3 linked regions of the Tamandua tetradactyla genome follow. The protein of the gene in region 1 interacts with the protein of each later gene in a pairwise test. Links are inferred from orthologs where the notes say so. Each region holds a gene or a part of one and is shown on either strand. Other genes may lie near its edges.

Evidence for each region.
Region 2: the proteins of UBE2E1 (region 1) and ZNRF1 interact in binary tests that used the Homo sapiens proteins (3 or more experiments, as listed by UniProt). The link is inferred for Tamandua tetradactyla from reciprocal best matches to the Homo sapiens genes UBE2E1 and ZNRF1.
Region 3: the proteins of UBE2E1 (region 1) and RNF25 interact in binary tests that used the Homo sapiens proteins (3 or more experiments, as listed by UniProt). The link is inferred for Tamandua tetradactyla from reciprocal best matches to the Homo sapiens genes UBE2E1 and RNF25.

The regions. Positions count from the first base shown.
Region 1 is NC_135341.1:64,541,241-64,544,985, reverse strand, and holds the start of UBE2E1 (ubiquitin-conjugating enzyme E2 E1), read left to right. Parts: upstream 1-1,507; 5' UTR 1,508-1,615; intron 1,616-1,753; exon of another isoform or gene 1,754-1,774; 5' UTR 1,775-1,858; intron 1,859-2,842; exon of another isoform or gene 2,843-2,958; coding exon of another isoform or gene 2,959-2,961; intron 2,962-2,994; 5' UTR 2,995-3,028; coding exon 3,029-3,180; intron 3,181-3,240; exon of another isoform or gene 3,241-3,745. UniProt on the Homo sapiens protein: Accepts ubiquitin from the E1 complex and catalyzes its covalent attachment to other proteins. Catalyzes the covalent attachment of ISG15 to other proteins. Mediates the selective degradation of short-lived and abnormal proteins.
Region 2 is NC_135342.1:69,506,153-69,509,897, forward strand, and holds the start of ZNRF1 (E3 ubiquitin-protein ligase ZNRF1), read left to right. Parts: upstream 1-971; 5' UTR 972-1,515; coding exon 1,516-1,939; intron 1,940-3,745. UniProt on the Homo sapiens protein: E3 ubiquitin-protein ligase that plays a role in different processes including cell differentiation, receptor recycling or regulation of inflammation. Mediates the ubiquitination of AKT1 and GLUL, thereby playing a role in neuron cells differentiation.
Region 3 is NC_135329.1:194,207,341-194,211,085, forward strand, and holds the start of RNF25 (E3 ubiquitin-protein ligase RNF25), read right to left. Parts: upstream 2,564-3,745; 5' UTR 2,456-2,563; coding exon 2,415-2,455; intron 79-2,414; coding exon 4-78; intron 1-3. Other genes in the region: STK36 (serine/threonine-protein kinase 36), read left to right, coding at 3,412-3,495. UniProt on the Homo sapiens protein: E3 ubiquitin-protein ligase that plays a key role in the RNF14-RNF25 translation quality control pathway, a pathway that takes place when a ribosome has stalled during translation, and which promotes ubiquitination and degradation of translation factors on stalled ribosomes.

The sequences.
Region 1 (3,745 bases):
CAGGGAGTCTATATTTTAATAACTGCATTTATGTTATTTTCCTTACCCAAACTGAGTTTATTTAATCTGTTTGCTGATTGTTTTCTCTTGGTTTATATCGTTTTCATTAGAAGTACAAAAAGTATACAACTTATTTTCAAGATTTTTTTGTTTGCTTTCAAATCCAAACAGCATGAATGTCATTCTTTTTTATATGCTCTACCCGGACTCCTGAAACCAAACTCTGAGAAAGGTTATCTCTGGAAAACGTTTTCAAATCTAGTATATGCCTTAGGGTGGTTAAGGGATAGCTCTGTCTGGAGTAGGAGACTGAAATGATGACCTACAAAGTCTCTTTCAGTTTCTGGACTCCTAGATTCTATGACAATTCTTGGTAGATAAAGGTTTCCTGGTAAGGATTGAGCAAGAAGCATACCTTATTGCTTTATGAATCTTGATAAAGTTGGAGTTTCAGGTTGAAGGCTAGAAGAAGTAAATTAGCTGGGTAATGAGAATGCTTGTTTTCCTGATTCCTATGCCATGGGTTTCTACATTTTGTTGTGGTGTCCTGTGGTGAGTGAAGCCACTGTTGCCATGGAAAATGATGGCAATTTGAATGAAGTAATTCAGAGTGGCCCCTGGAAAACTGGACTGGGCTGTCTACTTCATGTATAAGACCTTGCACAGCACTGTTTGTTGTTATTTAGATGGAAGACATCTCTTCAGTTCCCTTCAATTGAAATGGCAAATAGGTGAGAAACTAAACAGTAATTTGATGGTTTAATACTAAAAAAATAGTCTTGGTAAAAACGCAAAGTAAGGATTAATGCAGAAAAATTACTAAGTGATTTTTCTAAAAATATTATTATTATTTGAATAACATTTAAAGTTGAGGCTGAGGAGGTACAAGGGACCCCAGAACTTTGCATCTAATTTCCCAAAATCAAACTTTCTATCTAATGTAGGTTAACACCAAAAATTATCAATCTAGTCTAAGTACCTGGCTTATTCTCAGTGATTTCTTGCATTTGCAAACCTGTCACACTTTGGTTTTACCTGTCATGAAATCCTTTGTATCATTAAAAAAAAGTCACATTGATTTCTATTAAAAAAAAAAAAAAACTGGAAGAATCCTCAATTTTAAATATCATGTTCCTCGTGCCCTGAACAGAAAACTCCCAGTTTGGGATTTTTTTCTCAAAGGCGTGCGTGCCTAAACTCTTAGCAAGTAATTTGCCACAGGGAGAAGCAAGTGTTAGCCCAAAGGAAAACCCCTTCTATGGGGTTTTCTTTTTTCCCTTTAAGCTGATCACTTTTTAGGAGGAGTTCCCGCTGCATTCTCTAGTCCAAAGTCCTTGCCACCAGATTACCATCTTTTCCACCAATCTGCCAAAGCCTTCATTGGAAAAAACTTCCTCTCTAGTGTCCCCATATGCATTCAGTTCCAGTAGCTCCCTGCGCCCCCATTTCGGACTGGCTTTCAGGATCCAGTTCCCCAAACCACTTCAGGGAAAATTCACACCCTTAGCCCCCTTCCCGGGTGTCCGGAGGAGGCGCCGGGGTGGGAGTCGTGTGGACCGAGGGGGCCGGGATTTTCCGGGGTCCCCGGTGTCCTCCTCGTGTCCCCCACCCCGAGGTGTGCAGGGGGGAGGGGAGCGCGGGTGGGTGGGACTGGGCCGTGTGGGGGAGGGGTGAGGGCGAGGAGGAGGAGGAGTGTGTGTGCGAGCGTGTGTGGCTGGGGGAAGCCATTGCCTGTTTAATAGTTGCTGTTGCTGCACTTCCGCTTCTCTCCCAGCGAGAGAGACACGAGTGGCCAGGCCCAGCCGCAGCCGCAGCAGCAGCCGCCGCGGCGGCACGGAGGAGCCAGACACAAAGAGAGGTACGGGGATCCCCCCGCCGCCTGCCGCCCCCTGGCCGCGCCGCGGGGCCTCGGGGACACCCCTTGCCGCCTCTCCCGACCCGCGCCGCCGGGACCGCCGGGCACGGGGTTGGAGGGGGACGGCGAGGGGCCCAGGAGCCCCAGGGGTCCGGGGCCCGCCCGCGGGGGATGGGTAGGGACCCCAGGCCGCGTGGGGTGCGGGGGCAGCCCGCGTCGGGGGCGGGGGGGGGCATCGTGGCTCGAACTGTCAGCGCTGCCCCGGGAGCCCCCCACTGGCCGCCGAGGGGGCCGGGAGCGGGGGGAGGGGAGTTGGGGGAGCCCAGTTTTCCCCTGGGGTGGGGGCCCGCGGGGATTAGCCCTCCTGGGAGGGCGGACTCATTGTTATTCCTTCGCTGCGGAGGCCGAGTTTCCCCCCACCCCCACCTCCCCAGGGGTGGCGGTCGGGCGTGGGCTCGGGACCCTCAGCCGCGGCCCTGGAGCCCGACTGGGGTGGCCCAGGGGCAGGCCAGCAGGGAGGGGCGTCGGGGCGCAGCGCGTGGCGGGGGGGGGGGGCTTGGGCCTCGTCGCCCCTGCCCCCGCCGGCCTCTCCCTTCCCCCACCCGGGCACCAGCTCCCCGCCTCCGTCCCCCCGTTTCGGCTTCCTCTCTTACTCCTCCCTGCCCCTCCTCTCTTCCCGACCTCGCTAAACTCCGCTCCTGGCCGCAGCACCTCGCTCCGGCCCCCGGCCCCCCGCGACCCTCGAAAAGCCGACAAAAACAGCCCCGAGGCCGAGCGGCCGTCGGGACCTTCCCCCCTGCCCGGCCGAAGCGCCCAGTGCCCCCGCCCTGTCCTGCTCCTCCGCCTACTCGGCCTCTCCCCACCCTGCCCCGAGGGGAGCCCCGGGGGGCGAGGGAGGGGCCGCTTGCTTTACTGCAGACCGTTTTCCCACCGCGTCTCCGACTGGAGCCAAAAATAAACAAACCCGCCGTATCGGATTTGCAAAAGCCTTAATGCGGCTGGAGACTTCGAAAAGCGAGTGGAGGCCGGTGGGCGCCCGGGGGTGCACTCCTTGGCCCGTGCTCTCCTGACAGCGCCCGAGTTCCTTTATTTACACCGGCTGTATGGTTTGTTTCTGTTTTGTTTCCCTCACCCTATAGGGGCTGTTTGTGGGGTGGGGTGGGGGGGTTCGCTATGTCGGATGACGATTCGAGGGCCAGCACCAGCTCCTCCTCATCTTCGTCCTCCAACCAGCAAACCGAGAAAGAAACAAACACCCCCAAGAAGAAGGAGAGTAAAGTCAGCATGAGCAAAAACTCCAAACTCCTCTCCACCAGCGCCAAGAGGTACGGTACTCTTCCCACGCCCCCATCCCACCCCCACCCCGGAGGCTTCCTATTTTCTGAACCTTCTCGGCTTGGTTTGGTCTGCCACCCAAGTGAAGGCAATTTAAGTGTCCTTCATGGTTGTTTTATGTGTTCTTAAAATTGAGAAAAGGGCCTTAGAAGCCCTCATTACTTTCTCTCTGGCTTCTTCTTTTTCTCTTTTAATTATTGTCCATATGTAGTTTCTGTGGTTTGCCTCTCCTATATCTTATTGAGGTTTGTAAGAATCCTCATTACCTTTAACAGTGACCCCCAAATCTGATTTCATATTACTTGTCCTCTTAATCACTGATCTGTCACCCTCCCTACAGCTGTCATCCCTCTTGTTAATTACTAATACCTGCCTGGACAACTCTGTATCACAGTGAGTTCTATTACCCTCTCACTTCCTCCTCACCTGTTGCATGTATGATCTTTTTTGAATAGAGCTTTTTCCGCAAATTGCATAAGGAACAAATAACTCATATCAGTAAGGTAGAACATTTAGGAGGTGAAAATATGTTTTTAAAAAGAGTTTTCTGTTTGG
Region 2 (3,745 bases), on another chromosome or scaffold:
TGTTGAATGAATGAACGAACGAACACGAGTGTGTGAGAAACACTAGGACTGAGGTGGAAATGTACCTCTCAGATGCAAAATCAAAGTTTGGCCAAGAAACGTTTATTGAGTATCTACTGTGCCCCAGGCCCTGTGGTGCACGCTAAGACACAGGGTAAACAAAACAGGATCCTGCGTGGGACTACAGAGTTTCCCAAACCACTTGTAGCAGCATTATTCTATTTCAGCTTATTTCGTGCTCCCAATGATTTTGAAAATAACGTTTTAGCGAAGTAATATACCCATTTGCTTAAGCCCAAACCAGACTTTCTGATCTAACTAGTGTCCGCAAAGGCTGGGAACCACAAGTGTCCTAGTGCGCTGTTCACCCCAAAACTTCCTCAGCCTAAAATGCTAAGCTTCTTGATGCATATGGTCCTTGGAGCGTGGATAAGGGGATGGGGAAGCTCAGAAAGAATGGACAGCATGTCCACCAGAGGGTGCTGTGGGGGCAAATTTTTGCCAGGAGGGGAGCTTGACCATTGACCCTCAGAGCCAGGTAAGCGTATTGGGTAATTTTAATTTCTTCTTGGGTTTCCTTTTCAGCCCCTTAAACCATCACCGCCCTTTTCCATGCACCCCGCCCCACAACCACCACCACATTTGATTTCCCAGGAAAAACTGGCCACATTCTGGGACTTAAAGAGTGCTTCCGTTGAAGAGACGTCTTGCTTCTGTTTTTGACGCCCAGTGCCTTAGATCACGCAGGTCACAGGCCGACCTGGGGTAGGAGGCTAGGTGGCGGCCTCAGGGCCGTCAGCGGCCCGGGGCGGCGCAGGGGCAGCGAAGGGGTTAACCCGACGGGGGGGGGGGTGGGGGCGGGGGCGCGGGCCGCGCCTGCGCTCTGCCGCCCTCCATTGTCTCCGCGGCGGCGAGGAGCGCCGGCGAGCGCAGCCCGGGACCGAGCTGGGCGGCGCGGCTGGCCCGGCTGGCGGCGGCTGGAGCGAGATCGCGACGCGACACGACGGCGGCTTCCCGAGCCCCGCCTGGCCGCCCAGCGCCGCAGCTCACCCGAGGCCTGGAGGGGTCTGGGCCGCCGTCCACGGTCGCAGCGTCCTGAGGCGGGGGACGCGCCGGGTGCCCCCAGCTCTCCTCTGCCGCCTCCTCTCGGGCGGGCGGCCTCCTCCTGCGCCTCCTTCCCTCGCTCCCCGCGGCTCCCGCGACTTTCGGGAGCCCGGGGGCGGCCTGTGGCGTTCAGAGTCCCCGCCGGACTGCGCCTCTTTGGACCTTGAGGGGAAACATGCGTTTGCCTTGGATCGTTTTAAATTCTTAGTTTGGGATCCCCGCCCGCTTGCCTCTTCCACCCGCGGGTTTTCCCTTTTTTTTTTTTCCTTCTTTTTCTTTTTTCCCTTTTTCCCTCCCGCTCTCCTTTTTTACTCCCTCCCCCTTTATGCTCGCCCACCCCTCTCCCCGCTGCTGAGAAGTGAGGGAGGGTCTCGGCCTCCAGGTTCCCTCCCCATCGGGGCCCGGGCGAGCATGGGGGGCAAGCAGAGCACGGCGGCCCGCTCCCGGGGCCCCTTTCCGGGGGTCTCCACCGATGACAGCGCCGTGCCCCCGCCGGGAGGGGCGCCCCACTTTGGGCACTACCGGACGGGCGGCGGGGCCATGGGGCTGCGCAGCCGCTCGGTCAGCTCGGTGGCGGGCATGGGCATGGACCCCAGCACGGCCGGAGGGGTGCCCTTTGGCCTCTACACCCCCGCCTCCCGGGGGACCGGCGACTCAGAGAGGGCGCCCAGCGGCGGAGGGTCTGCGTCGGATTCCACCTATGCCCATGGCAATGGTTACCAAGAGACGGGCGGCGGTCACCATAGAGACGGGATGCTGTACCTGGGCTCCCGAGCCTCGCTGGCGGATGCTCTACCTCTGCACATCGCACCTAGGTGGTTCAGCTCGCACAGTGGTGAGTCCACGGGTGGTGGAGGCTTCGGAGGGTGGAGAACAAGGGAGGGCGCGCCGAGGCGCCCCAAACCTTCACGCGCGTGCAGAGGTTTGGATATGGAGCGCGCGACCTGAATCTGTCTGCTTTCCCCTGGTTCCGATCCCGAGGGATCCAGAAAGGAGGCTTCCGAGCTCGGAGCCAGGCGTTTTAGGACTTGAGGCGTTTGTTCACTTGTGGTAGGGCAGAGTGAAACCTGCCTCCCGAGGTCCCATTTATTGGTATCAGAATCCTCAGAGAAGAGGTCTTGTCTGGCTGGGAGGAAGTCAGCTTGGGTGTCTCTAGCACTGCAGCATCGTGTCTACCTCGCCATTAACAGAAAAAAGGATCCACTTTGACCAAGCAGTGTCTTTTAAACAAAGCAAAGGGTGTGAAAAGAAATATAATTGGGGGGGCAACTGGTGTTTGCATTAGGGCTCTCACCCTTCCTGGGAGAGAGGGTGCCCAGTTTTGCTGGAGATCTGTTTGATTTGTTTAATGTGGAGCAGCCGGTGAGCTTCTGGCAGAGACAGGTGTGGCCTGCTGTATTGAGGGCTCCATCCAGGGAGCCTCCCTCTGAGGCTTTGCGGGACCTGGCTCTGGTCACCCGTGTAGCATGCAGTAAGCTCTGCTCAATGGCTCTCACATCCCTCCATCTTTTTTTCTTCCCCTCCATGCTAAGTGTTTGCTCTTCCCATGAATCTGCATCTTTTCATACCAGAGAGCCTGGCAAGGTGGGATTTTCTTGCCTGGCTATTGACACATGACAGGGGAAGAGGAGGATACAGAGAACCTGAGTGAATTCATCTTCTGAACTTCTGGGCAAAAGGTTGGAGGAGGGTTTCCCGGGCTGTGGCAGGAGCTCCTGGAGGAAAACAGGTCTTTTGCTCAGCTAACCTGAAAACCCAGGTTAGGTGTCTAGAAAATTGCTTGAAAAAGGGTGTAGAACCACTATCTGCTGATTGGCAAGTCGAAGTGAATAAGTTACACATTCAGATTGCTTTGGGAGAGTTGAGAAAATTTAGATATTTAGGATAAAAATTGCTTCTGCCCTTCAGGATACTTTATGGAAGCTATATTTTTTGGATCGTGTTTTAGCTATTGTGAAATAGGGCAGACTTTTTGCATCCCTTTTTTTACTGGAAATAGTCTGAATTTGTTTTTGTTTTCAATTCTGTAAACTTGAATTTGTGAAATAATTTTTGAGGGAAATAGTGACTGATTTAGAGTGACTCTTGAAAGTGACTTTTGGATTGTGAAGGTATTTTAATCTCTAAACAGTCCTCCAGGTATCAGTGGGAAGTCTCTGACCTGTATGAGACCCTGCCCTGAATGCAATGTAAGGCAGGATGCCTTTGGCACTTTTAGGCATTTGATCAGTTTTAGGCATCTTTTTTTTTTTTTAACTTTTTATTGTAACTTACATACAATTCAGAATTTCTGTATTTAAACAATTTCATGTGTACAATTCAGTAGTATGGATTACATTCACAGTATTGTGCCACCATCACCAACATAAATTATCCCAGTTTTGTCTTCACCTCTGTGCTCATTAAGCAATAATTCTCCCAACCCTACCCTCTGGTAGCCTGTAATCTACTATCTGACTCTATGAAATGTGCTTTTTCTAGGAGTTTTCATATAAGTGAGATCATATAATAGTTGTCTTTTGTGTCTGACATGTTTTATTCAATCTGATGTCTTCGAGATTCATCCATGTTGTAGCGTGTATGAGAGATTCCTTTTATGGCTGAATAATATTCCATTGTGTGTACATACCACATTTTATTT
Region 3 (3,745 bases), on another chromosome or scaffold:
TACCTGCCATTTCCTTTAACCACCTGTAGTTCATCCAGATAGATAGACTCTAACACTTCAACTTCAGAGAGAAGGACCCTAGAGAGACAGGGGGAGACTGGCTTAACACTACAGCTCTCCCTGCTGAAGCCTGCTAAGGCCAATAAAGGCTGGCTTTATAGAAAAAAGTGGCAATCCATTATATGCACTCCCTTGCTATTTTTTAAAGATAAAAATAAAGGAAATAAGCTGCCTTAAGTTGTCAAGGTGCAAGGTAGGAAGCATGGAAATCAGAAGCTGTGAGATCACTTCTAAGACCAATGAAGGCTGGCTTTATAGGAAAAAATGACAATCCGTTATATGTATTCCCTTGCTATTTTTTAAGGATAAAAATAAAGGAAATAAGCTGCATTAAGTTGTCAAGATGCAAGGTAGGAAGCATGGAAATCAGAATCTGTGAGATCATTTCTGCCAACAGTTGAGGCACAGAGGTTTAATACCTCAATCTCAAGCCTTAATAGAAGACTAACTGGGACCAATGCAAGGTTTTTTGACTGCCCATTTAAGTTTCTTTCCAGTGCTGGTTGTTCCTTAGCAGCCACCTCTCTGACCCAGAAACATGATGTCCATTCACAGCATCAAAGTAATCAATGCTACTCCTGGTTTTTCGCACGCCACTATTGAACACAGATCTCAGACAGTGCCCAAGCGCCTTCTCAAAGGAGATACCAATCTGAACAGGACCGTAGGTTTAGGTAGTATAAAGGCTATGTTGTAGTGGAAAAGTTATTAATAAGACTTGGGGTCAGTCATAGCTACAGATCACTCAGCTACATGATCTAGGTAGTTATTTATCTCTGTACACCGAGTTGCTCTGTTTACCTCATATGGATAATAACACCCAATCCTTAGGGTTACTGTTAGGATTGAAGGTGATTTGTGTATGCAAAGTGTCTAATAGAATCTGGGCCACAGAGTCTATGTCCTCTTTTTTTCCATTTCCCTTCTTTTTAAGGTGGAAGGATGTAGTCAGCAGAGAACTCTAGATATATTTATGACACTGGCTAGAAATAAGACGATATATATTTAATCTCAGAAACTGCAGAGTTATACAGCAACACTGAAGATGAGTGGTTGAAGTCCAGAGCTCTACCCAGGTAATACATGGAAAGATGCATGCATTTGTTTGCTTTTTCTTAAGTTATACTGTTTCCTCCTTACCAACAGCAGGACTGCTGTAATACGGCCTATATTTTAGTGGTCCTCAAGACTTTCTTTCCCAGTCTTAGGTGGAAATCCCAAAATATAAAATAGGTTAACAGTGGAGTTTTTTGGTTGACATGGGAATGGGAAGCTCAGAGCACCACAGGTTAGCTTCTATAGCTACTGCTGCCCTCTACATGGCTTCAGGTGTCTCCTCAGAGTCTTAATGTTCCAATGAACAATTTGAAAACCACTAACCCAGATAGTGTCAACAAAGGCCAGCAGTGACTGGGTTCCCTGAACCAATGAAATGCTGAGCTATGTAGTCTCATTCTGTGCACCCTTCAATACTTCACCCACCCTAGCTTTGACTTGAGCCGTGGATGGCCTGTATGGAGCAGGACTGTGAAATGCCCTAGTATTGTAAGATTTGTAGTCAGAAAAACCTGCATCCCTAGCTGTAAATATGTACATTTTGCAAATCACTTCATCTCTTATCTAATCTCCTCAGCTGCTTTACCTCAGAGTTATTAGTGAAAAGGAAGCATATGTATGTTACAAACCCATACTAATTCTCTCAAGGATTCTATGCAGTAGAGGCCACACCCACTTCTTTTTATAGCTGAAGATACTGACTCACAGAAGCTAGGTGATCAGCATTACAAAGCTAATAAAATGTGTAATAAACCCACACTGATCCTCCTTCCAAATTCAAGAGTCCTTCCAGGTTCTAGTCTCTTGTTAGGAATGCTTGCGATAAGGACTAGGAAAGATTGTGTAAGGTGTAAAGCTTTATTCAGACATACTCCTCATTAGTGCTGTAGGGGAAGGAGAGGTTAAGAAAGGCCTCGGCGGATATAAGCTGATCCAAAGGGAAGTGATACACGAGCCGTAGGGCACTGGCTCCCAGAGGTACAAGGGAGGTGCTGGGGAGTCTGATGAGCAGGCATCCCATGGACCCCTGAGCAAATGCAGTTCAAAAGGATGGACAGAATGGAGCCGGAAGGAAGAAGAAATCGAATCAGATGAGACCCGGCCCAGACCCAGTTTCCTCTTACCATGACCCATGCCCTCCACCCACCCGCTCCCCAGTCCAGACGCTCTCTTAGGGTGAGATGTCAGCTTCTGTGCTATCTCTCAGCCCTCGTTCTACTTCAGCAGCCCGCCGTAAGAACCCTCCGCGGCCACCGCTAAACCAGGCAGTCAGCCAATGCCCATTTCCCCAAAGTTACCAGTCCTCCTCCCCCGCAGCTGCCGACTCAGACACCGCCATATCTCCTCCAGTCCGCAGCCGGAACCGGAAATGTTCTTGGGGAGGTCGGGAGGCAGAAAGCTAAAGGGGGGGGGCGGGGACTAGAGACTTGAGAGGAGAACGTCTAGCGGCGTTTCTAGGCAACCGTAGACTCCGGGTCCTTAGTGGGGCCTGATGACCAAGAGAGATTCGGAAGTGCCCTAGGAAGTGCCTATGGGTAGGTCACTGTCTCGCCCATACCTCTGAACGCCGTGTCTTCCGAGACTCTATCTAGTGCTAGTGAGTAAAATTGCCAAGAGTGAGCGTCTAAAGAAACCGGCAGTGAGGGTGGAAAAGGATTATAAATCAGGCAAAGTACGTCGGCAGCTAGAGGGGGCGGGGCTGGAGGCCAGAGCTGGCGTCCCTCGGCTTAAGGGGCTTGAAGCTCCTGGGCTGGGGGTAAGAAAGGAGATTTCTTCTGCGCTGTGTGCGGGCATGGGGTTAGGAAGGGGGTGTTGGGGAGTTTGTGAGTGGCATGGAACCTAAGGGAGGTTGGGAGGGGATGGGAGTTGACTGCGGAGGGTCTAGTGGCGAGGCTGTGTCGAGTAGGGAGGGGTCAGGAGGTCGCGGTTTGGGACGGGTGGAGAGATCGGGTAGCCCAGCGTGGGTGGAAGGTTTGGTGGGCGTGGCTGGGTCGAGTGGGGCGGGGTCTGATGATCTCTGGAATAGGTGAGGGAGGGGCAAGGAGGCCTAAAAGATGGAGATCTAGGAGATGGTCCATTTGTCTTAAGACCTTGTCCTTCATCTTTCTGTCCATTCCACCCTCCCATGTATTTGAGGGCTGTATTATTGTGAAAGAGGAAAAGGCAGGACGGCTGAAGTTAACCCTTCTCCCATATCCCAGCTAGGCCTCGCAGATGTGTGGAACTGTTCCTGCAGCTGTGGTCTTTCACCACCATCTCTGCCTCCTTCCTTCTGAGGGATCCTGAAACCTTGTTATGGAGAAGTACCATGTGTTGGAGATGATTGGAGAAGGCTCTTTTGGGAGGGTGTACAAGGGTCGAAGAAAATACAGTGCTCAGGTGGTGAACCAAGAGGGATATCTTTTGGGTGGGATTCCTACCCCCAGACTCCAAGAGAGGGAGGATCAGTGGGGAAAAAAAGACCAGAAGAGAAGTATTCATACTGACCCATCTTCCTAAGGCATTGACTCATTTTGCGAGTCAATAGACTCTGCGTTTAGATTGTCTGGGTTCAGATCCCCACACCACCACATTCTAGCATTTGAACTGTGGACAAGTTATTTAATCTCTATTTCCTTACCTATAAAAT